Saccharomyces cerevisiae S288C: one gene and its partner. The protein of the gene in region 2 purifies or fractionates together with the protein of the main gene of each other region. This does not show direct contact. Each region holds a gene or a part of one and is shown on either strand. Other genes may lie near its edges. The genes, in order: RTN1 and YGR026W.

Region 1 (15,893 bases), on a different chromosome or scaffold from region 2:
TTATTACGCATATTTGTATATATATATACGCATAAATTTCTGAAATGGATTACCTGGTTTATCAGAAACGAGAGCTTTAATAAAGAAACATTAACGTTTCTCTGGTAAAGTCACCACACAGCATCAAATATAACAGTAATGTCTAGCTCAGAATCCATTAGAATGGTCCTAATTGGCCCACCTGGTGCCGGTAAAGGTACTCAAGCTCCAAATTTGCAAGAGCGTTTCCATGCCGCTCACTTGGCCACTGGTGACATGTTGAGATCTCAAATCGCAAAGGGCACTCAATTAGGTTTGGAAGCAAAGAAAATTATGGACCAAGGTGGTTTAGTCTCTGATGACATTATGGTTAACATGATCAAGGATGAATTGACCAACAATCCAGCTTGTAAGAATGGGTTCATCTTGGACGGTTTCCCAAGAACCATTCCTCAGGCTGAAAAATTGGACCAAATGTTGAAAGAACAAGGAACTCCTTTGGAAAAAGCCATCGAATTGAAGGTTGATGATGAATTGTTGGTTGCCAGAATTACCGGTAGATTAATTCACCCAGCCTCTGGCAGATCCTACCACAAGATCTTTAACCCACCAAAGGAAGACATGAAGGATGACGTCACCGGTGAAGCTTTAGTTCAAAGATCTGATGACAATGCAGACGCCTTGAAGAAGAGATTAGCTGCTTACCATGCTCAAACCGAACCAATTGTTGACTTTTACAAAAAGACCGGTATCTGGGCTGGTGTTGATGCTTCCCAACCTCCTGCTACTGTTTGGGCTGACATCTTGAACAAGCTAGGTAAGGATTAATGACCTTGCGCAATGTCTTCTAAATATCTTTTCTTTTTTTTAAATTAATGAAAATATAATAAATTTTTGTATGTGAGTACATATATCCGCAGTATACTATAAATGAAATAATAACATAAGTGTTTGTAACTGGCTATAACGTCCTTAAACATGTGCACTGCCATTAAGTACTTAGTCAATATTTTTATCGTTGAGAACGAACGCAAATCATATTACTAAATAGATGAACAAAAGCGCATCACATAAACAAAAACGGTATAACAGTAATAGTGAAGCTTTTTATAAACCTATAACGAAATAAGCGCTTTTCAGGTTTTATAATTCAGTCAGAGTTCTAACTGGACATCGTTTTGCAGGGGATAAAAAAAAAAAGGAAGCTTCAACCCACAATACCAAAAAAGCGAAGAAAACAGCCAATGCCAAATGACAATAAGACACCCAATAGGTCCAGCACTCCCAAGTTTACTAAAAAACCAGTAACCCCGAATGATAAAATTCCTGAAAGAGAAGAAAAATCCAATGAAGTGAAGACACCTAAAATTCCATTATTCACGTTTGCCAAAAGCAAAAACTATTCAAGGCCGTCAACCGCAATTCATACCTCACCTCATCAACCAAGTGATGTAAAACCGACTTCCCATAAACAGTTGCAACAGCCAAAATCCTCACCACTGAAAAAAAATAACTATAATTCTTTTCCTCACTCAAATCTGGAAAAAATAAGCAACAGCAAACTACTCTCCCTTCTTCGGTCCAAAACGTCAGCAGGAAGAATTGAATCAAACAATCCTTCACATGATGCTAGCAGGTCTCTAGCAAGTTTTGAACAAACAGCATTTTCCCGGCATGCGCAGCAACAAACTTCTACCTTCAATTCAAAGCCTGTACGTACCATAGTACCGATATCAACATCACAAACCAATAACTCATTTTTATCAGGAGTAAAAAGCTTACTAAGTGAAGAGAAAATAAGGGATTACTCTAAAGAGATTCTAGGCATAAACTTGGCAAACGAACAGCCTGTTTTAGAGAAGCCACTTAAAAAAGGATCAGCAGACATCGGCGCCTCTGTGATTTCTTTGACCAAGGACAAATCTATCAGGAAAGATACCGTAGAAGAAAAAAAAGAAGAAAAGTTGAATATAGGTAAAAACTTTGCCCATTCTGATTCACTATCAGTTCCGAAGGTTAGTGCCGGTGACAGTGGTATATCACCGGAGGAGAGCAAGGCAAGAAGTCCTGGAATTGCAAAACCGAATGCCATACAAACAGAAGTGTATGGAATAAATGAGGAATCTACTAACGAGCGTTTAGAAATAAATCAAGAAAAACCAGTAAAATTAGATGAGAATAGTGCAAATAGTACGGTCGCATCGGCCTTAGATACCAATGGGACGTCAGCCACGACAGAAACTCTAACATCAAAGAAGATCGTTCCATCTCCAAAAAAAGTCGCCATTGATCAAGATAAAATAACACTGCACGATGAGAAAACACTTGCACCTTCGAAGCATCAGCCTATAACATCTGAACAAAAAATGAAGGAAGACGCCGACCTCAAGAGGATGGAAATCTTAAAGTCACCTCATTTGTCGAAAAGTCCAGCTGACAGACCTCAAGGGCGTAGAAACAGCCGAAATTTTTCCACTAGAGATGAAGAAACTACAAAACTTGCTTTTCTTGTTGAATATGAAGGCCAAGAAAACAACTATAACTCTACTTCTCGAAGCACAGAAAAGAAAAATGATATGAACACTTCTGCAAAGAATAAAAATGGTGAAAACAAGAAAATTGGTAAGAGGCCGCCTGAAATCATGAGCACTGAAGCTCACGTAAACAAAGTAACCGAAGAAACCACAAAGCAGATACAGAGTGTACGAATAGATGGTCGAAAAGTGCTTCAAAAAGTACAAGGAGAATCCCACATTGATTCGAGAAACAATACCCTGAATGTTACACCATCAAAGAGGCCCCAGCTAGGAGAAATACCGAATCCTATGAAAAAGCATAAGCCTAATGAAGGGCGAACTCCAAATATCTCAAACGGTACAATAAACATCCAAAAGAAATTAGAGCCTAAGGAAATTGTGCGAGATATTTTGCATACGAAAGAATCATCAAATGAGGCTAAGAAAACTATTCAAAACCCTTTAAATAAATCACAAAACACTGCTCTTCCTTCCACACATAAAGTTACACAAAAAAAAGATATAAAAATTGGAACTAATGACCTTTTTCAGGTTGAATCTGCTCCAAAAATATCCTCAGAGATTGACCGGGAGAATGTTAAATCAAAGGATGAACCGGTTTCCAAGGCTGTTGAAAGCAAATCTTTATTAAATTTGTTTTCAAACGTACTCAAGGCTCCTTTCATTAAAAGTGAAAGCAAACCTTTTTCTAGTGATGCTCTGTCAAAAGAAAAAGCCAATTTTTTGGAAACTATCGCTTCCACTGAAAAGCCAGAAAATAAGACTGATAAGGTGTCTCTATCTCAGCCAGTTAGTGCAAGTAAGCATGAGTATAGCGATAATTTTCCAGTTTCTCTATCTCAACCTTCAAAGAAATCTTTCGCAAATCATACAGAGGATGAGCAAATTGAAAAAAAGAAGATCTGCCGTGGGAGAATGAATACGATAATAACTCACCCGGGAAAAATGGAGCTGGTATACGTGTCCGACTCAGACGATTCTTCTTCAGATAATGATAGCCTAACTGACTTGGAAAGTTTAAGCTCTGGTGAATCAAATGAAATCAAAGTAACTAATGATTTAGATACAAGTGCTGAAAAGGACCAAATTCAGGCAGGCAAATGGTTTGATCCTGTATTGGATTGGCGAAAATCTGATCGTGAATTGACGAAAAACATTCTTTGGAGGATAGCTGATAAAACGACATACGATAAAGAAACAATAACTGACCTTATTGAACAAGGGATCCCAAAACATAGTTATTTAAGTGGCAATCCATTAACTAGTGTGACTAACGACATTTGCTCTGTTGAAAACTATGAAACATCAAGTGCTTTCTTTTACCAACAAGTGCACAAGAAGGACAGATTACAATATTTGCCATTATATGCAGTTTCTACATTTGAAAACACAAATAACACTGAAAAAAATGATGTGACCAATAAAAATATCAATATAGGGAAACATAGCCAAGAACAAAATTCTTCTTCCGCTAAACCATCCCAAATTCCAACCGTGTCTTCTCCATTAGGATTCGAAGAAACAAAGCTAAGTACCACGCCTACTAAAAGCAATAGAAGAGTGTCGCATAGTGATACTAATTCTAGCAAACCCAAAAACACGAAGGAGAACCTTTCAAAAAGCTCTTGGAGGCAAGAATGGCTTGCAAATTTGAAACTTATTTCCGTTTCGTTGGTTGATGAGTTCCCTTCGGAGCTTTCCGACAGTGATAGACAAATAATTAACGAAAAAATGCAGTTACTTAAAGATATATTTGCTAACAACCTTAAATCAGCAATTTCCAATAATTTTAGAGAGAGTGACATCATTATACTGAAAGGTGAAATAGAAGATTACCCAATGAGTTCTGAAATTAAGATTTACTACAACGAATTACAGAACAAGCCTGATGCAAAAAAAGCCAGATTTTGGTCATTTATGAAGACTCAGAGATTTGTTTCCAACATGGGATTTGATATTCAGAAGTCCTGTGAACCTGTTTCTATATCCACGTCGGTCAAACCACATGTGGTCGAGCCCGAGCATATGGCAGATGCCAAAATTATGCCTAAGGATATACTGCAAATTACAAAAAAACCGTTAATGGTTAAAAATGTGAAGCCTTCTTCTCCGCCAGATGTGAAGTCTTTGGTGCAGCTGAGCACAATGGAAACGAAAACCCTACCAGAAAAGAAGCAATTCGACAGTATTTTTAATTCTAACAAAGCAAAAATAATCCCTGGAAATGGGAAGCACGCATCAGAAAACATCTCACTCTCTTTCTCAAGACCTGCGTCCTACGGCTATTTTTCTGTTGGAAAAAGGGTTCCAATCGTTGAAGATCGTCGAGTGAAACAACTCGACGATATAACAGACAGTAATACAACAGAAATTTTAACTAGTGTTGACGTTTTAGGAACACATTCACAAACTGGTACTCAACAATCAAATATGTACACATCAACCCAAAAAACAGAACTTGAAATTGATAATAAGGATAGTGTCACCGAATGTTCGAAGGACATGAAAGAAGATGGTCTTTCCTTTGTGGATATCGTTTTGTCGAAAGCAGCATCGGCGCTGGATGAAAAGGAAAAACAATTGGCTGTTGCAAATGAAATTATTCGGTCTTTGTCAGATGAAGTTATGAGGAATGAAATTAGAATAACTTCACTTCAAGGTGATTTAACTTTTACAAAGAAATGTCTTGAAAATGCGAGAAGTCAAATATCTGAAAAAGATGCTAAAATTAACAAATTGATGGAAAAAGATTTTCAAGTGAATAAGGAGATAAAACCGTATTGACTTTTTATCATTCTACAAAAGACCAGTAACGAAGTGTACCCTGTTTTTCTTTGTCGTTTTCTTCTATAATGAACAATTTACTTTACGGTCTTTAATCGATTTTAATGATTAGTTGGGCTTTTGGCTACATATGTAAAATTACATATAATATAATGGACACATAAGCAAAAAAAAAAAAAAAAAAAATAAACAAATGAGCAACCCATCAAATACCAAGAACAAAGAATTTAATATAATATATAGTTATTAAATTTAAATGTATATATGCAGTTCTGCTCTTATTTTGTGACCAATTTCTTTAAGTCATCCAAACCGACCTTGCCACTATTAGATTTGCTTGAATTTTGCGACGTTTCATGATAACATGTCGAGTGGAAATATTTGCCATTCACTTCAATAGTATTTTTCCAAACCCATTCACCAGATTCTTCATCATAAACGCCAGTAACGGTTTCCTTACAAATTGGACATTTGAAGGCCATATCTTGTGAAGTTTCTGGTACAACAACATATTTTCCCCGTATTTCCAACTCGTTACTTCTATCACTTCCTAAAGTGTTGTCTACAGAGCCTTCGTCATTTTCATCAGCGTGAATATTTAGGGCACTTTTATCGATATTTTTATTGGCATGCGGATCAGTATAATCATTTTTATGCTTTGTGGAGGTAATTTCATCATCTTTGAAGGCTGCCCATTGAGAGTCACTCAAATACCAGTTTCTTGATTGAATATTTTTCCTTGTGGTAGTTGTATTTAAGTTAGAGTTGCTTATGCCTGTATTTGCTGTGTTTTGTGATCCCTTAATTCTTGTATTTATTCTGAAATGCCAGTCCAAATGCTCATTTTGTAGTAGTTTTTCACTTTCTGAGTTGCCAAATCTCTTACCACACACGCTACATTTATTTGGCTTGGATCGGTATAATAAGTGAATAAGATTATTTTGGACGATGGGATTTTCTTGAAGAAGAGTTTGTTCGGACAGCTGCAGGGATGGGTTATTCAAAACGTCGATGTTAACCGTGGCAAAATAAGCTTTGCAGTCAGAAAGAATATCATTTAATAAGGGTATCTTTGGCAGGTTCTTCATCAATTGTTTTTCGTGTGAATCAAGAGAGTAGTTTGAGTGTCCATTTAGCTTTTTATAAAGCGTTACGATGGATTCTTTTGGTGGAGTATATATGAGCCCTTCAGCCTTAAGAGATGCATAGAGGTTATTGATTTTGTTTAGGGACTTTTTTTTCTCAATTTCTTGAAAAGATTCAACGCCAGAAATATTACCAAAAAGAGAGGAAGATAAAGAATTCTGTTGGTTCGTTGTATCTGAATTATTTCCAAACAATGGAATCGCTGAATTAGAGTTTTGTGTGTAAGAACCGACCATATCCTTAGTTTCGTGATACTGCTGCTGCTGCTGCTGTTGTTGTTGTTGCTGTTGCTGCTGTTGTTGCTGTTGCTGCTGAAGTTCGTGATACCTCATTCTTTCCTGCAAAACTTGTTGGTCCTGTGAGAAGACCTGCCTTAGTTGCATTTGAACTTGTTTCAGAGCATTGAGAGTTAGTTTTTCTCTTTTCAGTTCTTGTTTCAACTGAGATAAAACCAACAGTTTCATTTTTAATTTTTCATCATTTGGTTGATTCTTTAGCCTTTCACTAGTTAAACAAGTTAATTTATCAATGTCTCTTAATAGGAGGGGAACAGTCGGAGTTGGTAACATTGCTTGCAGGTTTTTCTGGTGGAGAGCACTGGCCTTTATTAAAAACTGTTCAATTTTCTCCAGTGCTGAGCCTTCAAACAGAGGCAGGCCGGTGTCATTAGGATTCAACCAAAGCTTAAACATATTGATGAGTTTTGTTCTTGTGGTGTTGTCCACCAATAAGTATGTTCTTTTGTACAAGTTAAACAAATTTCTACTGAAGTAGATTGTGTATGGGCTGCCAACATTCTTACAAATGGAGTCCAAGGCATAAAAAGCGTATAGCTTCTGCTTAGGCATACATTTTTCAATTCTACTCTCAATGGCGTCAACAAAATATTGAGCACACGAAATGTTTTCTTCTGCTAACTTCGTGAGAGTGGTAATAATGGGTCTCGAGTTAAAAGTTAATTCTTCAAGAATACTGTTGAAATCCTTGACTATAACTTCTGTGTCGTGATCCATAATGAAAAGAGAGTATTACAAATAGACCTAGTGTTTTCAAGTACAGTTTTCTTAACTGCTCCGAAAATTGTCCTGGTAATTCTTTGCAATGCAAAATTGAAAGAGAGACTTTTAAACTACTAAACCCTTAACAGTAGAACAACATTGTCTCATTAATTTTTGAAATTTCGCTTTCTTCCCATGCCTTAGGCCAAGTTCTCATCCAATGCGTCGAGTCCTTAAAAAAAATTCGCCCGGGTAAACTAAAACTTAGATGCACTAGGTAATACCATTTGGTGATAAAGGGAATAAAAAGCAGCAAATCCTAGCTCAATTACGAAACTCTGATCACTTGGGGCCCAGCTTCATTGGCTAAATTGGTGTATCCCTTGAACCGACTACGTAAGTACGTTTTGAAAAGTGTGTAAATCTATGTATAAAAGTACATCAAAAATTAGACTGAGAAAGTTCTGTATAGCTGTACTAATACATTAGGAATAGGCTAGACTTCTTCGCCGCTGGAATAAAACAGCTGGGCCTTCTCTTCATTGGTACCACTTGCTTTGCTCTATTGAAAGTACAAAGAATAGAGCAGACGAGTGTAAACATCCTATCTGCGTTCCAACAGAAGTGCGTATTGAAGTCATCTCATGCTAATGGCCATCTCATGTAGAATAGTAAGGAAAAACGTATCTAATTTATAAAAACTTGAGTTAGATCTCAAACTTCGGTAGATTGCGCCTTATTTAACGGATGATATACACTTATTCTACTGCTCACATTACTCGTTTTACAGGAAAAAATGGTCAATGCGGGCAAAAGAAAAAAATATTGGGCGATATGTTACAAGAAAAGGGTGAGATGGAAATTTATGCTAAACATTAAGTGGAAAAAAACCATATCCATACAATAGAAGTATATATTCTGAATAAAGGGTCAATTAAATTTCACCAAGGAATAAAATATTGTTAAAGAAAGTAACAGGAAGAGAAATCGGATATGCCTGACAATAATACGGAGCAATTGCAGGGATCTCCTTCAAGTGACCAGAGACTGAGGGTTGACTGGGACAACGGTAACCATTTTGACGTCTCTCCCGACAGATACGCGCCTCATCTATCTGAATTTTACCCAATTGTAAATAGTAAAAGACCAGTGGCTAGCAGTGCTGGCTCAGAAAATAACGACCATCTGGACGACATGAACCATTTACGTTCATCCAAAGTGTATTCAAAGGCCCGTCGGGCATCGAGCATAACTTCTGGTACGAGCACAATAAACGACTTGCAAACGCTAATCACAAAGAGAGATGTGAAAGAGACCCAGGAAGCCCTATCGACATTACTCAGGAACTCGAATGCTTATTCGGATTCGTTATTAAAGACATCTCAGAATGGGGCAGAAATTGCCCATTCCTTAGAAAACATTGCCAAGTTGAAGGGTTGCAATGATGAAACGGCGGAGAAACTATTGAGTGCCAGTGGGTTATTCTACCTTTTATCTAATCATCAGCTTATAATGTCAAAGTATTTCAATGACTTGTTGGGAGATAATTTAATTGATGATATTGATGAATTCGAATTACAGACCAAGATAATGGAGAACAAGTTCAAAGCACAAAGCAAAGAGCAAAGTTTAAAATTGAAATTGCAGGAAAGACATAACTTCGATATCTCGAAAAGAAAAATAAGGAATTTAATCTCATACCGAGAGAGCCTTTCTAGCTTGCAAGCAAGGTTAGATCAACTGGAGACACTAAAGCACGATTTTTACATGGATTCATACGAACTTGTGGAAAATACATGCAACAAAGTACTCAGCAAAGTTGCCACGGTATCTAGGGCACAAGTGGAAATTTCTGAAAATATTGCAAGGAAAGGTTGGTCTGGAGGCGGGCTAGACGAACTACTTTGTGATGCAGACGACCCCTTCAGCAAAAAAGCAGATGGGCCATACGGGACCATCGGTGGTGATGGAGAGACTGCTGGAGAAGCATACAACAGCGATGAGGAAACGGGTGGGAATGACGTGGTGCTCAATGAACTACTAGAAGGAACCAGCCAACCTTCCACATCAAAAACATCTTTACCCAAATCCAAGGGGTCCTCAACGGTATCCACACCGAATCATTCACAGTCAAGTTCAAACAAGGACGGGGTACGAAACAATGGCGGCGGCAAAAATGGCGAAGATGAGGATACAGACAATTTGATGGGAACAGAAAATTCATTTTCTTTACCGCCTACGAGAAACTCTGCCGAGGAAACCACACAAACGTTTAAACAATTGTCCATTAAAGAAGATAATGACAATCACAGCAGCGATACGGACGGCATGCAAGACCAGTCAAGTAATATATAAAATTTGTAACTCTATGTATGCTTTTTATATAGAAATGGAGAAAGTGAACAATTGAAGTTATAGTATTTTCGGAGAAATGTTGCATATATACATAGGAAAACGGTTAAAAGGCCCTGCTTCTACCTTCTGTTTCCCCCTCGTTCTTTTCACCAGAACTTGTACCATTTCTTCTCAGAGGAGGCCTGAGATAAATTCTGGTTACTTTGTTCAAACTGACTCTGCTTTTCATTTTTGGCGGCCTCCCATTGCCCCGGCAGAGATGGGTCATGAGGGACATTATGGAGCATTGGTTTTTCCTTTTTCGCCACGGTTTCCTTTGCCAATTGTGCGATCTGGAAACTTTTTTGTCTCTTTAGCCTACATTGCTCCCATCCGACAATCGAGCCCAGTATCAGAGAGCTCATCGCCCAATTCGTGGCCTTAGTCGGGCTCTTATGGTATATAAATATAATAGATCCCATCAAGAACATGCTGGAAAACCCGAGCATGCCCGCGTCTCTGAAGCACGGGATTGAAGTCAGCTTCTGCAAACTAAAATCACTCCATCTGATCGAGTCCCAAGCCTCTTTCAAAGTAGCCCGTTCTTGCTTCTTGGCCAACTGAGAATTGGACAAGTCATCGGCAAACTTGGGTGGAGTGTCTTCTAAGAGGATCTTTTGACCCCGCGAGTAATTTGTCAGCACGCGATCACCATCTGCTTTACCCTGCGGTTGTTGCTGCTGCTTTTGATCTTCTGTCTGATTTGACCACGGCCACCAACGCATCTTTATATTAACTGTTGAGCTGCTCGTTACGCACTGCTGTGGACTTCACTACAATGCTTTACCGAGCAGTGGAGTTTGATATAGTGGTGGTACCCCCGACGGTGCTATAATAAGCTTGCCTGCACGGCTTACCCTACCGCTCGGAAAGGCCGCCTTCGTCGCTCATTGGTCTGCGGCCGCGGGCGCTTTTTGGTCATTGTTCATATATGAAGAAAGAGCAGGAACGGAAATTTTTCATCTTGCCTTGCCCATTGTTCTGATCCATGCGTTGTTAGAAATACAACGTTTGCATCATACCAAACTTCTCCATTCCGTCAGCTGATACTCTATTCGGTTGTGTGTTGCACCCTGCTCTGCTGTCTCTCAACCGTTCTTCCTTTACACGCCTTCCCTTCTCAGCTCGCGTTTCTTTTTTTTTTATCCCACTCTTTTCTTTTTTCTTTCCTATATATTGCCCATATAAGTTTGGTTGGAAGGAAAACTAATAGAGCTAGTTGTTGTCCCTCAATAATCATAACAGTACTTAGGTTTTTTTTTCAGTATGCAACGCTCCATTTTTGCGAGGTTCGGTAACTCCTCTGCCGCTGTTTCCACACTGAATAGGCTGTCCACGACAGCCGCACCACATGCGAAAAATGGCTATGCCACCGCTACTGGTGCTGGTGCCGCTGCTGCCACTGCCACAGCGTCATCAACACATGCAGCAGCAGCAGCAGCCGCTGCTGCCAACCATTCCACCCAGGAGTCGGGTTTCGATTACGAAGGCCTGATAGATTCCGAACTGCAGAAGAAAAGACTTGACAAATCGTACAGATATTTCAACAATATCAACCGATTGGCCAAGGAGTTCCCCCTAGCTCATCGCCAGAGAGAGGCGGACAAGGTCACCGTTTGGTGTTCCAACGACTATTTAGCACTTTCCAAGCACCCTGAGGTATTGGACGCCATGCATAAAACTATCGACAAGTATGGTTGTGGTGCCGGTGGTACAAGAAACATTGCTGGCCATAACATCCCCACTTTGAATCTGGAAGCCGAATTGGCCACTTTACACAAGAAGGAAGGTGCCTTAGTTTTTTCGTCATGTTACGTAGCCAACGATGCCGTCTTATCCCTACTGGGTCAAAAGATGAAGGACTTGGTGATTTTCTCCGACGAACTCAACCATGCGTCCATGATTGTCGGTATTAAGCATGCTAACGTAAAAAAACACATTTTCAAACATAATGACTTGAACGAATTGGAACAACTGCTCCAGTCATACCCCAAATCCGTTCCTAAACTAATTGCTTTCGAATCAGTATATTCTATGGCCGGTTCAGTGGCCGACATAGAAAAAATTTGCGACTTGGCCGACAAATACGGTGCTTTGACCTTCTTGGATGAAGTACATGCGGTCGGCCTGTACGGCCCTCACGGTGCAGGTGTTGCAGAACATTGTGATTTTGAAAGTCACCGTGCAAGTGGTATTGCTACCCCAAAGACCAATGACAAGGGCGGCGCGAAGACTGTGATGGACCGTGTCGACATGATCACCGGCACTTTAGGTAAGTCTTTCGGTAGCGTAGGTGGCTACGTCGCAGCCTCTAGGAAATTGATCGATTGGTTCAGATCGTTTGCACCTGGTTTCATTTTCACCACGACTTTACCACCTTCAGTTATGGCAGGCGCTACCGCAGCAATTAGATACCAACGTTGCCACATCGACCTAAGAACCTCGCAACAGAAACATACCATGTACGTAAAGAAAGCTTTCCATGAGTTGGGCATTCCAGTTATTCCAAATCCTTCTCATATCGTCCCAGTGTTGATTGGTAATGCTGATTTGGCTAAGCAAGCTTCTGACATCTTAATCAATAAGCATCAAATCTACGTACAAGCTATCAACTTCCCTACGGTTGCTCGCGGTACCGAAAGATTGAGAATTACCCCAACGCCAGGTCACACCAACGATTTATCTGACATCTTAATCAATGCAGTTGATGATGTGTTCAATGAGCTACAGTTACCACGTGTCAGAGACTGGGAAAGCCAAGGTGGCTTATTGGGTGTTGGAGAGAGCGGATTTGTGGAAGAGTCTAACTTATGGACATCAAGCCAACTATCTTTAACTAATGACGACTTGAACCCTAATGTTAGAGACCCCATCGTTAAACAACTAGAGGTTTCTAGTGGTATCAAGCAGTAAAACAACCAATATATGCATGGGCTGAGATAGAGGTACAAGGAATTTGTAAATCAGTAAAAAAAAAAATTAACAGTTTTTTTTTTTCATTTTTTTTTTTTATTCTTATTTATGTATGATACTTTATTATTATTTCTCTTAATTATTTATTTATTTAACTAACACGATGAGCACTTTTAACTGCAATGGTTAAACTGTAGCAATGTTGGTAAAAAAGCAGGGAAAGTTCAAAAATAATTTATGTATTTTTCCTCGGGGGTACAGAAAGTAAAGAGAGAGAAACGTATGAGTATATATAGGCTAATGTAATATGTAGTGGTAAATAAAGAGACAAAAGTTAGCTATTCTTGTTTGAAATGAAAAAAAAAAAGCACTCAAGCGTTGTTTTTTTCCAATTCATTTTGCAAGTTTTTTGTACTTTTCTTCAATTCATTAGACAATTCATCGACGTTAAATTCTTGGGTAGTGGAAGGTTCGTGTTGTGGAACTTCTGGCATAACTTGAGCTGAAGATGTGTAAGCCTTAGACTCTGGTTCCAATGGAACATCAGCGGCCAACTTAGAAGTGCTGGCGGTTTGAGGACCGGCAGTAGAAGACACAGGAGCAGTCTTAGATTTGACCAAGTTGGAAATTGGGCCCAATTTAGATTCAACCTTGTCCAAGTATGGTTTTGTCTTTTCGCAAGCCATTTGAGAAAACTCTTGGGTCTTTTGCTTAGAAATTTCTACACCTTGAGCGACAGTAGCATCAATTTCATGCTTGTAGGAATGGTAGATAACTGGCAAAGTGAAGGTAAAAATGTCAGCAACAAAGACGATGGTCCAGATAGAGAACCAGGAGAAGAATTTGTGTAGTAGAAATAAGGCAACAGCGGTCTTGAAAGTGTGCTTAGGGACTTGAGCGAATACAGTCTTTCTTATGTGGGCTTGGAAGACTGGTAGCTGTTTCAAAGCTTCATCGATATGAGGCTTAATAAAGCCGGCGATATTTGGACATTCTTTAGGACCATACTTGGTGATTAAACCTTGTCCCAAAAAGAGCTTGGATACGAATTCAATAGATCCTGTTGTGAATAAGATAGTGTAGGCAACCTTCAAAAAGAAAGTGATCAAGTTAACTTTTTTCAAAATTAACAAGGCTAACAGAGACCCACCGAAATATTTACCGGTTTGAACAGGGTTCCTCCATAATAGCAAATCGCAATTACAGCTTTTTTGTTGTTGTTGTTGTTGGGCTTGGCTATGTTGAGCTGAGGCGGACATATTTGCGTGTGTGAATATATATTATATATATATACGCTTGCGGGTAGGAAGAAACAATTAAATATTTGGCTTGAGAGTTGAAAAGAAAGAGATCAAGAAAAGGGAATTGTTGAATAAAAATTTGAAAAATGCGAAGTTGAAGTGCCATAGAAGAGAAACAGCCCACACAGGGGAGAAGCCCACTGGAAAGGGGGCACTGACCAACTTTAAATAGGAAACAGAAGATACCACAAGCCAGCGATACAACAGCACCAAACACCGAAAAGAATAGCCAAAGCTGTCCTCTGGTGTTGGAAAAACTGGAAAAAACGCAACTGCGTTGGCTGCTACGGTGAAAAATTTTCCTATGACTTTTTTCACTGCTTGTTCGTGCGAAATTACCGCAAACCCGGTAAAATGTACACGTATCAAGTGATAAACAATTTCGTGTCAAGTGAGCAGAATGGAGCGATTTGGAAAAAAAAAATTTTTATTGTTTTTTCCCCCGGGATTTTGCTCGAGATGACTGAAATTTTGTAATCGATGAGTCTATACCAGAGGCAGCAAATATCACCAACATACACAGGTATACACAATCTCATGTCCACACACACGTACAGACACGCACATATATATATATATATATATATCCCCATAGGTATTTATATATACAAAAGAATCCTCGTGTGTTTGTGTGTGCAATAGCTAGTTTTGCGCTGCCTCTTATAGTAGACAATATCACTTTTTCAATAAAATAGAACTTGCAAGGAAACAAAATTGTATCGCTTCAAGATGCTACGATCAACCACATTTACTCGTTCGTTCCACAGTTCTAGGGCCTGGTTGAAAGGTCAGAACCTAACTGAAAAAATTGTTCAGTCGTATGCGGTCAACCTTCCCGAGGGTAAAGTTGTGCATTCTGGTGACTATGTATCGATCAAGCCGGCACACTGTATGTCCCACGATAATTCGTGGCCTGTAGCTTTGAAATTCATGGGGCTTGGCGCTACCAAGATCAAGAATCCTTCACAGATTGTGACCACTCTGGACCACGATATTCAGAACAAATCAGAGAAAAATTTGACCAAGTACAAGAACATCGAAAATTTTGCTAAGAAACACCATATAGACCACTACCCTGCCGGTAGAGGTATTGGTCATCAAATTATGATTGAGGAGGGCTATGCTTTCCCCTTGAACATGACTGTCGCATCTGACTCGCATTCAAACACCTACGGTGGTCTGGGGTCGCTGGGCACTCCAATAGTGAGAACAGACGCTGCAGCCATATGGGCCACGGGACAGACGTGGTGGCAGATCCCACCAGTGGCTCAGGTTGAGTTGAAAGGTCAATTGCCTCAGGGTGTTTCCGGAAAAGATATCATTGTCGCATTATGTGGGCTTTTCAACAATGATCAAGTTCTAAATCACGCCATTGAATTCACGGGTGACTCTTTGAATGCATTGCCTATCGATCACAGACTCACTATTGCTAACATGACCACCGAGTGGGGGGCTCTTTCTGGTTTGTTCCCCGTGGACAAAACTTTGATCGACTGGTATAAAAACCGTTTGCAAAAGCTGGGCACCAATAATCATCCAAGGATTAATCCAAAGACTATCCGCGCACTAGAAGAAAAGGCGAAGATTCCGAAAGCAGACAAGGATGCACATTATGCCAAGAAACTGATCATCGATCTAGCCACGCTAACTCACTACGTCTCAGGTCCAAATAGTGTTAAGGTCTCCAACACCGTGCAAGATCTATCTCAACAAGACATCAAGATAAATAAAGCTTATCTAGTGTCATGTACAAACTCCCGTCTATCTGATTTGCAATCTGCAGCGGATGTGGTTTGTCCTACTGGAGACTTAAACAAAGTCAACAAGGTGGCTCCAGGTGT
Region 2 (15,855 bases):
GTATTGGTTTGATTGATTTTACTGCTTTTACAGCTGCAATCAGGTGAATTCGTTTCTTCGATCTCGGAGGTTCTAAACTACGCATATTCTTAGTATTCCATGTGTCTCGTGATACCTTAATTTCAGTTTCATTATCTTCTAATGATCTTTTCTTACTGTTGATAGTAGTATAGGCATTAGAGTCACCAATACCACCCAAACTGGAATTAGTTTGACGAGAATTGATCGGTGGGAGTTCTTTAAATGGGTCAGGGAATTCGGTAGGAGATTCTGGAGGTAGATCAGGGAGTGGGAGATCAGCGATGATAGATTCCTCGGTATTCTGTTCAGAAACAGTAGTTGGCGTTTTGATAGGAACAATATTGTGCGATGAATTATTTTCCGGTGGAGAAGCATCGATTGAAGGTGAACGGTGTATAATCCTTTTCTCAGTCTCTTGGTCACTTATCTGCGGAACAGTTTTGTTGTTGGTACCACCCGTACTGGATATTGGTACGTTTGTATGATTAGTCTCATTTTCACTGTACGAGTCTGAGTGTCTGAAATCTTTAGATTTACTGGCGTGCGACGACTCATGTGTGTTAGATTGGGACATGGGAGCAAGTAAAGGAACATTTAATTTATGCATACCACCCGAACCGGTACTCTCGATATTGGAAATTTGGGGGGTGCTAGATCTCTTCTTTGATGGAAGAATATTAGATTCAGATATGTTGGGGTCAACTTCTCTGGGTGCGCGAATATTGGTTTTAGAAACACGTTTCGAATCTTCAGTATGAGTTGACGGAGGTGTGGAATCGGTTGGACTCACAGCTTTTGAAAGGACATTTCTCGGTTGCTCAGGATGTAGTTCAATGTCGGATTGGAAGTCATGGTCAGATTCTATGTTAAGATCATTGGATTCTTGGATCTCATTTGACGCAATGAACGAATGATATGAAGCAGTTAAACGGTTTAAGTCTTCATCGAAAGTGAGTGCGTCGTAATTGAATTGATCTAATCTGGATTCCTTGCCCTGAAGAATAACATAGTTAGTTGTATCTACTGTCTTCTTTAAGGATGGAAGATAGATGATATATCCATAAGAGTTTCGAGACGGATGTAGAGCGTAGCCTGGGATGCCACGAGGATGTATTTTGGAGTTAGGGTTGTGATCATTGACGATAACAGGTTGACCGAAAGGTAACAAAGTACTGATATCAAGTCCTGCCAAGCCAGCATGTTGTCTTGCAGATTTTTTGCTTTTAGGTGAAGCTAGTGAATTTCTCACAATAGTAGAAAATTCGATTGCAGAGAACCATAAATGGTTCGGTAAACCACTACATTGCAGTTGAGTACGGCAGTCATCTAATAAGGTACGGTTTAGCCGTTCAGCGACTCCATGTGCTCGGGAATCCGCTGTGGTTGTATAGCATGGAGTTATACCATTTTTTTCAAGGAATTTATGGAGAGTTCTGTTAGTATACTCAGAACCACGGTCCATTTGTATAACCAAGACACTGGCCTGAAATTGGTTTTTAATGAAAGCTAGTATCGTGGTAAATACATCGAGGATAGAGTCCTCGCGACGGTCGTGCAATGGATAAACCCAACGGAATTTTGTTGTCTCATCAGTAAATGAGATGAAATAGGATGGTGCACTTTTTGGTAGGTTGTGAACTGGACCAAATATGTCAGTATGTAGGTATTGAAAGGGTTCGTATGAATTTTGGTATTTTAGTCGTGAACCTTTGATATGTCTGTGTTTGGTGCTTTTGCCGATTAAACAATCAGGACATTGATAGTCAATAGCACTAGACCAGTCGACATCTGATTCGTTAAAATACGTGATGGTGTTATTTTTAAGTGAGTATCGAATTGTCTGTGCATTGGCATGCGCAAGCATTCGATGAATGAAAGGATAAGGATATTTGCGTGTACTTTCACTTGTATGGACATTATTGATGGTGGGTACGGAGATATTTGATGGAAGCAAGTACCTTTTAGATACCCAGTAAAAGTCTCCATATTGTACGATAGGTGCAAGTACAGTGCCGTCAGATCGTTCTAAGACGTTTTTGGTAAAGCATGCTGTGATATCTACTGCAGCCAATTCATTCAAACTGAGTAAGTCATAGGCTATGTTAGGAGTGTGCAATACCTTTATTGATGTTTTGGTGTTGTCCTGGAAGTGAAATTGTAGGTCACCAATAGCGTTAATTGGTATATTTCTTTTTTGAGCATCAACTACGTTTATGTCAGGATTAGATGATGCTGAGTGTATGTGATGAGCAGATCTTATAAGGGTTCGTGATGCTCCTGAATCGAGAAGGAGGTGTCCAGGGAGTTCATCATCAGAATGATTAGTGTGATTTACCGTAGATTCAGTAAGTTCCTGGCCTAAGGTGAAGGTCGTGCTTATTGTTCAATTGAATCGGTTCAGTAGTTGATTTACTGATGGAATCGTTGTCCGTGCTGGGAGAGTTATTAGATGTGGATACATTGTGAGCCCTGGCTGTTTTCGATTTCGAATTATTTGTTTTTTGAGGATTCCGAGCTATAACTTTGGGTTTGGTTGTATTCGTATAGCTGCGAGAATCATTCTTCTCATCACTCAGATTTCTCCTGTAATTAGGTTTGCTGTTTCTCGATCCCTGTTGTTCTTCATAAATAGCATGGATATCTAAGAACAGTTCAGCGACTGTCATATTTAGATGTCGATGACGTGTGTAGCGTAAAAATTTATATTCGCCAGATAGACCTCTCATAATTAATTGGCATGCGACCTTGTTATTGATATGAATGCCATTATTGTTCAGTCTGTCGATAATGTTTGTGACTTTTGTTTCAAATGCATCTGCAGGTGTACTGCCATTATATTGCAAATTTGCCAGGGTCACAATGTCGTTTGCCTCTTGGGTATCAGATTGCATTTTTTCAATACTTTTGGAAAGAATTTTCATGATATCCGTATAATCAACGGATAGGATGTCTTTGACCCAGGTAGGTAGGAATTGAGAGGGAGCAAATATTTGAAAAGTGTTATACAAGAAGGTGAGTTCATCATCAGTGATCTGACGTACGGGTTTTCCGTTTACTGTCGGAATAATACCACCGAGATTCGAGTTTTGTAAAAATTTGATGTATGTTTTAACCCAATTTGGAAAGTCATTAGGTGAGGTTAACATTGGTGGTGGTCTGACATATTTTTTAGTGGATGTCATATCAGAGTCCGCTGAGGATGAATCAGTAAATGTATTACCTGACTCAGGTGATGGAGTGCTCAGAGGCGTTCCAACTGATGATGGATACTGCGGAAACTGTGATTGTGGCCCAGGTGGAAAGTACATAGGCGACATTTGATAAGGTGTATACGGAATCATAGATGGGTGTCCGTAAAATGACCAACCAGATGGATTGGCTTGGTTTTGGGTCATCATGCACTGCTGTGGGTACGGCCCATTCTGTGGTGAATGTGACTGAGCAGTTTGAGGAGAGGCATGATGGGGGTTCTCTGGAACAGCTGATGAAGCAGGTGTTGTTGTCTGTTGAGAGTTAGCCTTAGTGGAAGCCTTCTCACATTCTTCTGTTTTGGAAGCTGAAACGTCTAACGGATCTTGATTTGTGTGGACTTCCTTAGAAGTAACCGAAGCACAGGCGCTACCATGAGAAATATGTGAATGTTGAGATAATTGTTGGGATTCCATTGTTGATAAAGGCTATAATATTAGGTATACAGAATATACTAGAAGTTCTCCTCGAGGATATAGGAATCCTCAAAATGGAATCTATATTTCTACATACTAATATTACGATTATTCCTCATTCCGTTTTATATGTTTATATTCATTGATCCTATTACATTATCAATCCTTGCGTTTCAGCTTCCTCTAACTTCGATGACAGCTTCTCATAACTTATGTCATCATCTTAACACCGTATATGATAATATATTGATAATATAACTATTAGTTGATAGACGATAGTGGATTTTTATTCCAACAGAGAAAAAGTCATCAGATTCAATGGAAGCTGAAGCACTAGGATTAATAATGTTATGGAATTATGAACTACAACATAGAAAACAGTAAAAGAAAATAAAAATAACGTAATATTAGAAATACCGATTCCCTTATGAGGATTACTATATCGTCGAGTAGAGTATCTAGTGTATTTTGTATACCTAATTACAGCTTTGCAAGGAATTCCAAAAATTACCTTTGAAAAATGGGGGAATGTTGAGATAATTGTTGGGATTCCATTGTTGATAAAGGCTATAATATTAGGTATACAGAATATACTAGAAGTTCTCCTCAAGGATATAGGAATCCTCAAAATGGAATCTATATTTCTACATACTAATATTACGATTATTCCTCATTCCGTTTTATATGTTTCATTATCCTATTACATTATCAATCCTTGCACTTCAGCTTCCTCTAACTTCGATGACAGCTTCTCATAACTTATGTCATCATCTTAACACCGTATATGATAATATATTGATAATATAACTATTAGTTGATAGACGATAGTGGATTTTTATTCCAACAACCTTGATATCTAAATATCCACAAGAATTAAACTAAAACAAGCCGATATATCACTCCAAATACTTTATTAAGGTGGTTGATTGAGCTAAATAGTTCTTGCCTCTTCAGTTCAATATAATGAATAGTACTTTGTACACTGAGTGGATTCTAGCCCGCTCAAAATAATATAAAGCAAAATTCTATATTTTATATATGCATCCGTGCATTTGTGTAACCCATTCACCCATAAAGAGGTTCATTTACCCTGTAACGCGCGAAGACAAAAAAACGAAGGACGCCTTCTACAGGAAGAATTGTGCGACAGAACAACTTCACGAAGTATCTCTTAAAGTTCACGAAGCATTTAATACTATTAAGATTGCTCAGTTGAATATTGAAATCGTATTCTTTGTTATCGAAAACCGTCAAGCCCTGTTAGTTTTAGTGTATGTATCTATAAATTTGAAACCAATATTAGGCGGATAAGATGAAATAGTGACTGGCCAATCCAGGATTTAATATGTCATAAAAGCCTGTTCTACCTTAATGGGATGAATATCCATGTCTCTGTTATATGCTCCATAGCACAGATCTAGCTACCCATGGTACTTTGAGAGAAGGAAACTACGTACTTAGTGGTGATTTACAGTTAAATTCAATCTACAATTCAAGTCATTAGCAAATAGTCTTTATCCCAAATTCTACTAGAGTTCGGTTTTTTACTAACAAGTATGTTTTTACTTTTTACTTTATCATAGAACATTTAATAAATCATGCCTCCAAAGCAACAATTATCTAAAGCTGCCAAAGCCGCTGCTGCCCTTGCTGGTGGTAAGAAGTCTAAGAAGAAGTGGTCCAAAAAGTCCATGAAAGACAGAGCTCAACACGCTGTCATTTTAGACCAAGAGAAGTACGACAGAATCTTGAAGGAAGTTCCAACTTACAGATACGTTTCTGTCTCTGTTTTGGTCGACAGATTAAAGATTGGTGGTTCTTTAGCTAGAATTGCTTTGAGACACTTGGAAAAGGAAGGTATCATCAAGCCAATCTCCAAGCACTCCAAGCAAGCTATCTACACCAGAGCTACTGCTTCTGAATAAACAGGGAACGGGTTATATAATTTTAAATAATCTGTATTTTCAATAATATTTTTATGTATGTTTATTTGCACGTCACGTTTGTGTTATGGAAGACATCATTCAGGAAGTGATACATACAATAGTCTAAAAAAAAAAGGAACATTAACGGCTGAAAAGTCAGAAATGAGGTATAAAACGGTATTTAAGAGAATTGATTAAATTGTATGTATGCCGTCCATTTCTGTACGAGCGTTAGTGGCCAAAAAAGGTAAGAGGAGAGGAAAATAAGTAAACGAACATGACATCTGGTCATCTTAAGTTAGAGAATTTCTTACGCGTATCTGGCAACTTCTTCTGTTCTCTTTTCGTGCTCCTTCATTTTCATATAAATAAAGTTCTTTATAACCTGCCATTTGTCTCTATATTTTTTGGGGACGTATTTTTCAAACTTGACAAGTAACTCCAAAACAGCCACTTGTGCGTATGGAGAGAAGTTCAACCTCAACCAATAAATACCAACATAAATGACGAGCATAAATCCGGATGTACCCGTCTTAAACAATATAGTGTCTAGTGTTAGCGCTAAGATAACAAGTAATTCAGAGTACGCAAGTAAGTGTAGCATTTTTCTGTCTTTGGGTGTTAAAGGGATCTTTTCTTCTTTGTTAGCATTCAATTCGTAGTTCATTTTAGTTAGGTGTAGATAACTTAAAATCATGTAAGGCAAAATCTTGTAAAAAGACTTACCACCACCAAAGAACCATAAACAGGCAATCAAAAGGGTATGAAAGTTCTCAGAGGACAAAAGGTCATTCCAAGTAGGGTTAAGTCCAACCCAGTTCTGTTGCATTGTGACGGACTCAGACATAAATACGCCAATTAATGACAAACGGTACATTACCTGTGGGCTCCAACTCAAAAGTTTCATGTACCATCTCTTACTTTGAATAAACGAGTAATTTTTATTGACCCTTAAGAACAACCACTTCCAGGAACGATATTTGAAGAAGATTAGGACATGGTAGAAATACGTGATAGAAAATAATAAACCAAAAACTAAAGTTAAAACGTGTCCGATTTTCCAAACTAGTTTTTGTTTTGCTAAAGGATCGGATAGGTTCTTCTTTTTGGGGTCCTTCTTCCTGATAACTTTGATAGTCTTCGCCATTTCCAACGTTGTTGTTTTTTTTCTACAAAATTTTTATATCTTTCTATAATGAATTCTCTCTTTGGGTAACCAAGTTGAATTTAAATTTGGTTCTTGTGTATGTTAGTTTTTTTGAAGAAGCACAGCCAATTGAGTACTTTGACGCCGTGCAAGTGGGTATCCTATAATAAAATGGACATGGTCTTTTTTGGCGTAAGTATCCCTTGTCCTGCACATACGCTTTTTTCGCTCTATATTCTTCAGTTTTACCCGGATTGAAAGTTTTTATTGTTTTAAAAATCACTGATGGAGAATTAATTGAAGACATGCGGATAGAGAAAAACTTAAAGGGCTCATAGCCAGTCATGTGCCTTAATGTTCAAAGATTCTACTTCCTAATGCGAGCGGGATGGCAAACTCTAAATTTGGATACGTAAGGCAATTTGAAACACACGATGTTATTTTGCCTCAGTGTTATATTGTGGTAAGAATAGACGGCAAGAAGTTTCATGAATTTTCCAAGTTCTACGAGTTTGCCAAGCCAAACGATGAAAATGCTTTGAAGTTAATGAATGCATGTGCTAAGAACCTTGTCCTCAAGTACAAAAATGATATTATATTGGCGTTCGGGGAGAGTGACGAATACTCATTTATTTTGAAGTCAAGTACAACTTTATTTAACAGAAGGAAAGACAAGCTTGCGACTTTATTTGGTTCTTTTTTCACGTCCAATTACGTCGCATTATGGGCCAAGTTTTTCCCAGAAAAGCCGTTGAATATCAAGCATTTGCCATATTTCGATTCAAGGTGTGTAGCATACCCTAATTTACAAACGATAAAAGATTATTTATCCTGGAGATATGTCGATACACATATAAACAATCTTTATAATACGACGTTTTGGCAGTTAATAATAAAGTGTGGCTTAACTCCCCAGGAATCCGAGAAGAAACTATGTGGAACATTTAGTAATGAGAAACAGGAAATACTATTTTCTGAATGTGGGATAAACTACAATAATGAACCTGAAATGTTTAAAAAGGGTTCACTAGTAACAAGAAAAGGAGAAATACTTCATATTAACGTCATCGCACAGATAGATGAGTTGTTCGAAGGCTATTAATAACCTTTATATATATATATATATATATATATATATATGTATATCAGATCATCGTTGATTTCTAATGAACTTTCTGCACTTTCCTGTTATTTCCAAAGAACTGGGTTCCTTTATGTTAATATTGGACGATCTTTTAAAAGTTAAAACTAACTCATCGTTTCTTCAGTTTTGCTATCTTATTTTTGTGATGATAAAAAATATCTCCGCGACGGGGAATTGAACCCCGATCTGGCACGCGACAAGCGCCCATTCTGACCATTAAACTATCACGGAAGTAACTCGAGTGTTCGATTTTCAACTAGCAATATATCATATTGTTAGATACTTGCGGAACAAACAAAAATAATTACATTGGGAAAGTCGCTTTTCCATTTGTGGTGACCGCTACCCTTAGGAACAGGAACCTTAAGCTAACAAGGTAATTTCTTAGCTTCCTCTGCATTCTGTCTTGCCTTCTCCAGAGGATCCAAAATGGTGTTCGAAGCTTTTGCAGAGACAATATTTTCAAAAGATGGGCCCAAATTAAGAGTTCCTTTGAACTCTGCGATCCTTCTTCTCTTCCTTTGAAGTTTTCTTCCATGCGCTCTCTTTAGTCTCTAAACCTGTATCGTCAGCAGTATGCACTTGGGTGACATGTAAAAGTTTTCCAAATGCACTTTTCTTTCCAAGTGTAAAATAAAGCATTTCCGGATGGTCAAAATAAATATATAATACTTATTCCAAGTTTATAAAAGTATATGCGTTTATAATATTAAGTATATATGTATATATACGGGGAAGTGAACGTAGTGGTTATGTTATTATTTAGTCGTCAAAAAAATTGGGAAACCTGTGACAGAAAAAGGGAAAAAAAAGTTCTGTAATATGCATAAATTATTAGGAATTGAATCGGAAAAAGAAGAACGAAATGACCGAGGGTGATTTTAAGAAGAAAAGTTATGGCAAAGCTGCTTTCGCTATGATTTAATAGTTCGTGATATTTAAGCCGTTGTTTGGTTTCGTGTAATAGTTCTCGTCGATGCTAGCTTCGCTGTCATCATAAACACGATGAATGTTTTCATCGTGCATTACTTCATCTGCGTCGTTGTAATCTTGACTATTACTATTCGACATTGAATATGATGCAGATTTAGTAGGTGAGTATTGATCATCTATGCCTCTGTTATGGAAGTTGGATGATAGGTTTTCATCATTAGCGTCGTCGTCGTCGTCGTCGTCGTAGCCTTCAACATTAGTGTGTTTAGGGGTGTAGGGGTTGTCATTGTTAAGTATATCTTCTGGATCGATATCACCAAAATTCTGAATATTATTGCTGCCGATGGGGGAATCTGAGCTGAATCTTTCTGTTTCACCAATTTTTTTACCCAGCAAGAAATACCATATTTTGGTGAAAATGTTACTACGATAAGCTGTGACAATTTTACCGTCAGAGTCAATGAAATCCGTTTTTTTAGGCTGAACACAAAACATGTAAATCAATATTAGTAGAATTAGGATGAGGGGGGCACCTATGCCAACCACACAACCGATGATAATATTACGATTCTTTTTTGATAAGCCTGAGTGATGTGAATTTTTTCCTGAAGATGCGGATGCTGTCGGTGAATACGTTATTGTGGTATAGTAGTTAGAGAGGATGGTCTGGCCTTCTATTATACTAGTTATGGTTTTTGCCAAATTGGAATATTCGGAAGCGGGAGTAATAGAAGATGAGGCGGATGTAGAAGTGATTGATGAGGTAGGGTTTGAGGAAGATGAAGATGAAAATGAAGGATATGACGAAGACGAGTATATGGATGAAGAGGAAGATGTGGAGAGGGTGAAATATGATGATGATGATGATGATGATGATGAGGATGAGGATGATGATGAGGATGATGAGGATGAGGATGATGAAAATGAGGAGGAGTAGGAAAAGAGGGTGGATGAGGATGAGGATGATGAGTACGAGGATGATGTCAATTCGGATGAGGACGAAGGTGGAGATGAAGTTGAAGAGGAGGGAACGTACACTGAAGAAGTCGAAACGGATGTTGAAATTGAAGAGGAAATCAAAGAGCTTGAACTTTCCGAACTAAACGTAAACGTTGACGAAGACGTAGAGATAACCAACGATGAGCTAGTGGAAAGTGTGGAGGAGGCAACTGTCGAAGATGTTGATGCCACAGTGAATGTCGGCAGTGATGATGACGATGATATTATTGTTGATGATGAAGAGGAAGGAGATATTGATGATGATGACGATGATGACGTAACCTCCGAAGAAGACGACGATGTTGAAGACGACGAAACTTGCATGGACGAAGAGGAAAGTTCTGAGGATAATGTTGACGAAAGAGTAAGCAGTGAAGAACTTTGTGGGAAGGAAGTAAAGGATACTGAAGCTATACTCGGCGTTGATAAACTTGCGCTGCTCGTTGCATCGGTACTGGACGTAAATGACTCAACTGCGGAAAGCGAAGTGATGGAAGGAGCTGTGCTCGATGTTGTGCTATTAGCTGGAACCAACTCCTGCGAAAGAACACTTAGCGGTAGTGTTGTTAACGCCATGAGAATCGTTCTCCACATAGATAGGCTTGAAGCAGAGCTCTTCTTCCTGGTCGGATTGCAGCTTGCCATACCTTAACTACTTATATTATACTAACTGGGAGTAAGTTAAAAGTGGAAACGAAGATCGAACCAACCCGAAATGAACTAGAAGTGTTTAAACAAATTTCGGAAGCAATGGAGGATTATATCCCAATTATCTCCTCGGAATATATCCTTATTATGCCTTGGTCTTCCAATATGGACCGAAGAGTACTTACAGTAAATAGCAGTATCCTTCGTTTTTCATCTACACTTTTCTACCTAAAATTGATCTTCCCGAAGAAGAAAAACTAAAAACTTCGATTTGATGACTGTCAAGACCCCAAGAAAGAGGGAAAAAAAAAAATGATATCTCATGCAACAACAAGTAATTAAGTGCTCCTTGTTCATGGAAGACACAACAGGCACCACTAATAACCTGAATGAGGCACCTTCGACTTTCGAGATGAGCCCTTAGTTCATCCTGGTGTTGTGTTTGAGAGGGGGAGAGCACATCATTGTACTTCCAGATCCCCCTAGCCATGATCTAATATTACCGCTGAGTAAAAATAGATCTCGGCTGCGTCTCCGTCTCCGCCCGCCTTCCGTCGGTTACTTCGTCGGTTCTTGCTCGACCCCCGCCAGTCCGCAGACAACAGTCCGCAGCAGGCAAGTGCTGGTGTCCGCTTGGTGTTTTTACGTACGATTGTCTTTGTTGTTGTTTTTACTCTTTATTACAGTTATTACTACTGTTTGTTTAGTATATACAGGTATTTGTGGTATTGATTATTTATTTACGGTTTGGTTGGATTAAGCGTTGCTAGCGTTAGTGTACAACGACGTCACTTCGTCGATGTCCTCGAGCGCTGTGGTCAGTTTCTGTAGTTTCTCGAGCGTTTCATCGCCTTGCACGAAAACTTCCATATCCGGCTTGGCATTGTAGCCGATGCCCAAGTCTCTGATGTGGAAACCACGCTCCTTCAGTAGGGCGGCCACCTTATTGGTATCGGCAGGTTCCATCACCGCCTCGTAAGTTTGGCCTGTAGTTTCAGTTTCGGTATCACACTCTAAATCTTCTGCGTCTTCCTGCACAGGCGCAATGTCTTCGATGCCTTGAATCTCCAGTACGCTTTCTAGCACCTTGTCCTCAGTGTCTAACATCTTCGGAGGTACCATTGTAACGTATCCTTTTTTGTCGAAGAAAAACAACGTTGGAGTCATCGATCCATTAGCTTTATTAAATGCACTCCTTATCAGACCTATGGTCCTGTTCTTGTTGTCTGTCAGCGCTTCCACCACTATAGCGACCCCGCCGGGCCCCATTCCCTCGTATACACATAGCTCAGAAGCGTTTGAGTCCTTGCCCGATGCGCTGCTTCCAGAAGCTTTCCGGATGGCGTTCTCAATAACTTTTTTGCTGACATTGTTTTTATTTGCTAGCTCGATGCTGGTGGCTAATCTTATATTCATGCTCGGATCCGTAATACCGTTGCCTAACTTGACTGACATTGCTATCTGGTTTGCAAACTTGTTATTAATTTTGTTTCGTTCCGCATCATTCTTGGCTTTACCGTGCTTGATGGTTGACCATTTGTTGTGACCTGAACGTACCGAGGAATTCAGCACACTAAACGATCGAGAGTTTTTGAGCAGTTCACCCAGATACCTATTTCTTACCAACATTTTCCAATTTTTGATGCGTTCATACCAAGTTTGCTGTTTTTCTTAGTTATTATCATCATCTTTCCCCTTATTGCTGCTGAAACTTGCGTACGTGCGTACTAAAAAAATTTCACTGCGCTTACGCCGGTAAAGGGAAGTAGGAAAACGAAAGAAAAAAAAAAAATAAAGGCGAACGATAACAGGAAAACCAACGTGAATTGCAAGCACTACATTTATTATATCGAGTTGACAAAGAATTAAGAAAATAGAGCACTACATTTCTATATTCATAGCTAGTCTCACTGACGCATAGTAACTAAATCATGGCTGAGAAACGTACTCTTATAGCTGTGATAGCTGACGAAGATACTACAACTGGTTTATTGTTAGCCGGGATTGGACAAATCACTCCTGAAACCCAAGAAAAGAACTTTTTTGTTTACCAAGAAGGTAAGACTACTAAGGAGGAAATCACTGACAAGTTTAATCACTTTACTGAAGAGAGAGACGATATTGCCATCCTTCTAATCAACCAACATATCGCGGAAAACATAAGAGCTAGAGTGGACTCCTTCACCAATGCGTTCCCTGCTATTTTAGAAATTCCATCTAAAGATCATCCCTACGACCCTGAAAAGGACTCTGTATTGAAGAGAGTCAGAAAGTTGTTCGGTGAGTAAGCGAACGATCTTTCCCAAAACAAACACAATTACTGGTAGATTACTAGTAGCAGGCGGAGGTGGAGGGCGGGAGCCACTGTTATTGCGTTTGTATAATATATACACTCATAAATGATATATTTAAGGTTCAGATAAAAACAACTTTTTTTTTTTTAGCACGTCTTTACTGCAGTCACCAAACCCATTTTTTTTTTCCTATTGTGAATACCCGCCCATATTTTTCACACACAACTGATGAGTAATATAAAACTTTTCTTTAAAATTATAACAAGATACACATATATAAAGACCAAAAAAGGGAACGTGACACGGCCTCGCTAATATACAATCATAATTCATTAACTGATTTGGCTAATGCTTCAATAAAGATATCAGCATGCTTCTCCTCGAATGTTAATGAAGGTCTTAATCTCACTGCATGGACTGCACATCCACCAACGTTGCAACCATTCAACTTCAATTTCTTCAATAGTAAGTCTCTCTTCTCACCAGTAGGCAAATCCCAGGCAATGAATGTGCCTCTTCCTTTACCTCTCAAGTTTTGAAAGTTTTCAGGGTATTTCTTCTGCAAACCCTCCAATTTCTTGAACAAATAATCACCTACTCTTGAACATTGTTCAGTCAACTTCTTGTCGGAGATTTCCTGTCCAATGGCACCTGCAATGATCATTCTTGCAGGTTCACCACACCATGTGTTGAATTGTCTGTATGGTTTGTTTGGAATGAATTTAGGGTCGTGGAAGAAATATCCTGCACTTTGGAATTTCTTGGAAAAGGTCACTAAATCCACAGGTGGTTGAATATCGGCGTACTCATGACACCATAGCTTACCGGTGGCTCCGACACCTGTTTGCACTTCATCTATGATGTAGACAACGTTATACTTCAAGGTAATGTCTCTTAGCTTTTGTAAGAAATACTTAGAAGCGTGGTTATCACCTCCCTCAGATTGAATTGGTTCGATGATTAAGGCAGCAACTGGAATAGACCAGGTTTTGATTAATTCTTCAACAATGGCCAAGCAATGGTCATCCTCTTTACGGTTTGCATCAGAATTTTCATCTAATGGGTATTGGTAAGATGGATACTCAGCATGAGGCCAGTGGAAGGCTGGGAAATCCAACTTGTGAATTGGTTTAGAACAAGTTGTGGAACCGGAGGCAAACAATCTACCGTGGAACGCTCTCTTGAACGATAGTACGGCAAGATGAGGGGCGCCAGGGGCGTCATTGTCCATGACAGACAAGTTTTCCTTTTCAGAAAAATCGGCATCATAGCCCCTTTGTTTGGCACGGTAATAAATAAAGGCAGCCTTGAACGCTAATTCATTGGCATCTGCACCGGAAAGCCCTGACCAGACGTGATCTTGACCCTTTGGCGCAGATTTCAATATTTGCTTCAATATCTTGTCTAAATCCTTAGATGGGAAGTTACCTAAGGCAGGACGGTCGACCAAAGCACGGATCATTTCTGGTGATTGTGCTGCCTTGATCAAAGCAGGGTTGTTATAACCAAGTGCAATTGAAGAGATTTGGGCATACAAATCCAAATATGTGTTCCCATCCACATCAGTGATATAGTTACCTAAAGATTTCTCATAATCAGCCAAAAAATATGCTGGTCTTGTGTCAAAAACTTCACCCAGTTCCTTTAACTGCTTCTGGGATTCAGGACCAGGAATGGACTCGGTCTTAACAGTTGGTTTGGTTGGCTCTTCTGGGTAGTATTGTTCACAAATAGACATTGTTCTTAGTTATATTTCTTATTGACGGTTTCTTGTCTGTTCTTTCTGTAATGTAACACAGTAAGTGAGTATTTTGGGAGAAGGAAAAATCCTAAAACTATTGAAATTACAAATGGCCTTATATACAAATATATGTGAAAACCTGAACCAGATTCCCTTAAATCATTACATCCCGCGAGATTACTCACTTAATTTTACAGTAAACAGATCTGGCGCTTGCTTATACTACTGGAGACAAATCATATCCAATCACCGCACCAATGGATAAACATATTTGCCGTCCAAAGCGGCGATTGCTTTGTTCTATTATCTATCTCTTCCTTCAAGCGCCTTTGATTAGATTAACTGCCGGTGCCACTACCCACAGGAATCCCGCCCGCGGCTTTTGTCAAGCGTGGTAAAATCGCCGACGCTGATAATATACTATGATTAATGGATAGTTGGAAAGATTGTTTTTGTACAGAGATTAACTATATAGGTAGAAATCGAGATAGCGCGAATACAAAGCATTAACCATCGCGAACGTTAGCAATAATGATTGACATTTCTCACGGACACACTTCTTGTTCCTCCCACAGATCTTCGTCTTTGCCGTCGGTTTTCTGGAAAATCCATCTTTCACCACCTCTTCCCTCTTTCAAGTTCAAAAAATCAACAGAATCAACACAAAGACAGACAATACCAAAGTTTTCCAGTCCAGCGTCCTCTTTAGCACCGTCAACTCCTCTATGGAGTTTGTCCAGTTGTTTGCTAGTTTCAGAGGTAAGTTTCTGGCCCGGGGCTGGCTTCCTATACAATGACTTGGTATGCCTTGATAGAGAGGACCATTGTCTTAGTAATTCAGCCTCCCATTCTTGTGGTTGAGGGTAGTAGTCGTCTTCATCCTCATGGTGTTCATCGTTCTCTATGGATTCTATAAGTTTGTTATCTTCGTTAATGTCATTATTGTCGGCGTCATTATTTTTATCGTCGTCGTCGTCGTCGTTAATTGGAGTATCTATTTCTTCGTCAGTGCTGTCATCATTTGTCTCTGAAAACCGCGGTGAAAATATGTCATACTTGGTTACAATCTCAGCCGGTATTTTCTTAAATTGTTTAGATATTGTAAAGCATTGGCCACTGAAGCGATACTGCTCCCAAGTTTCCGGGAAATAGAAACATGCTTCGAAAAATGGAGTCTCACATCTTTTGCTGTCGCTAGAGTTATTTGAATTTGGAGTTATAAATGATTCAGTTATCTTTGAGCTCCTCATATCAGTGTTAAAAGTCAACACATTAGTTCTTTTGTCATGAAATAAAAAATCTCTGAACACTACCGTTCTACAACGTGGTTTGTTCGTT

What was found.
Region 1: the proteins of YGR026W (region 2) and RTN1 purify together in Saccharomyces cerevisiae (affinity purification with mass spectrometry, with the first as the bait; one study listed by BioGRID). This does not show direct contact.

Annotation. Positions count from the first base shown.
Region 1 is NC_001136.10:916,348-932,240, forward strand, and holds RTN1 (Rtn1p), read right to left. Parts: upstream 14,011-15,893; coding exon 13,123-14,010; downstream 1-13,122. Other genes in the region: adenylate kinase ADK1, read left to right, coding at 139-807; chromatin-silencing protein SIR4, read left to right, coding at 1,224-5,300; PCF11 (Pcf11p), read right to left, coding at 5,579-7,459; IVY1 (Ivy1p), read left to right, coding at 8,438-9,799; COX20 (Cox20p), read right to left, coding at 9,946-10,563; HEM1 (5-aminolevulinate synthase), read left to right, coding at 11,105-12,751; homoaconitate hydratase LYS4, read left to right, coding at 14,782-15,893.
Region 2 is NC_001139.9:523,888-539,742, reverse strand, and holds YGR026W (uncharacterized protein), read right to left. Parts: upstream 6,759-15,855; coding exon 5,922-6,758; downstream 1-5,921. Other genes in the region: YGR027W-A (gag protein), read right to left, coding at 2,364-3,686; 40S ribosomal protein eS25 RPS25A, read left to right, coding at 5,285-5,611; YGR025W (uncharacterized protein), read right to left, coding at 6,802-7,104; THG1 (tRNA guanylyltransferase), read left to right, coding at 7,147-7,860; MTL1 (Mtl1p), read right to left, coding at 8,824-10,479; post-initiation translation factor DPC29, read right to left, coding at 11,239-12,111; VMA7 (H(+)-transporting V1 sector ATPase subunit F), read left to right, coding at 12,414-12,770; UGA1 (4-aminobutyrate transaminase), read right to left, coding at 13,099-14,514; YGR018C (uncharacterized protein), read left to right, coding at 15,049-15,378; YGR017W (uncharacterized protein), read right to left, coding at 15,063-15,855.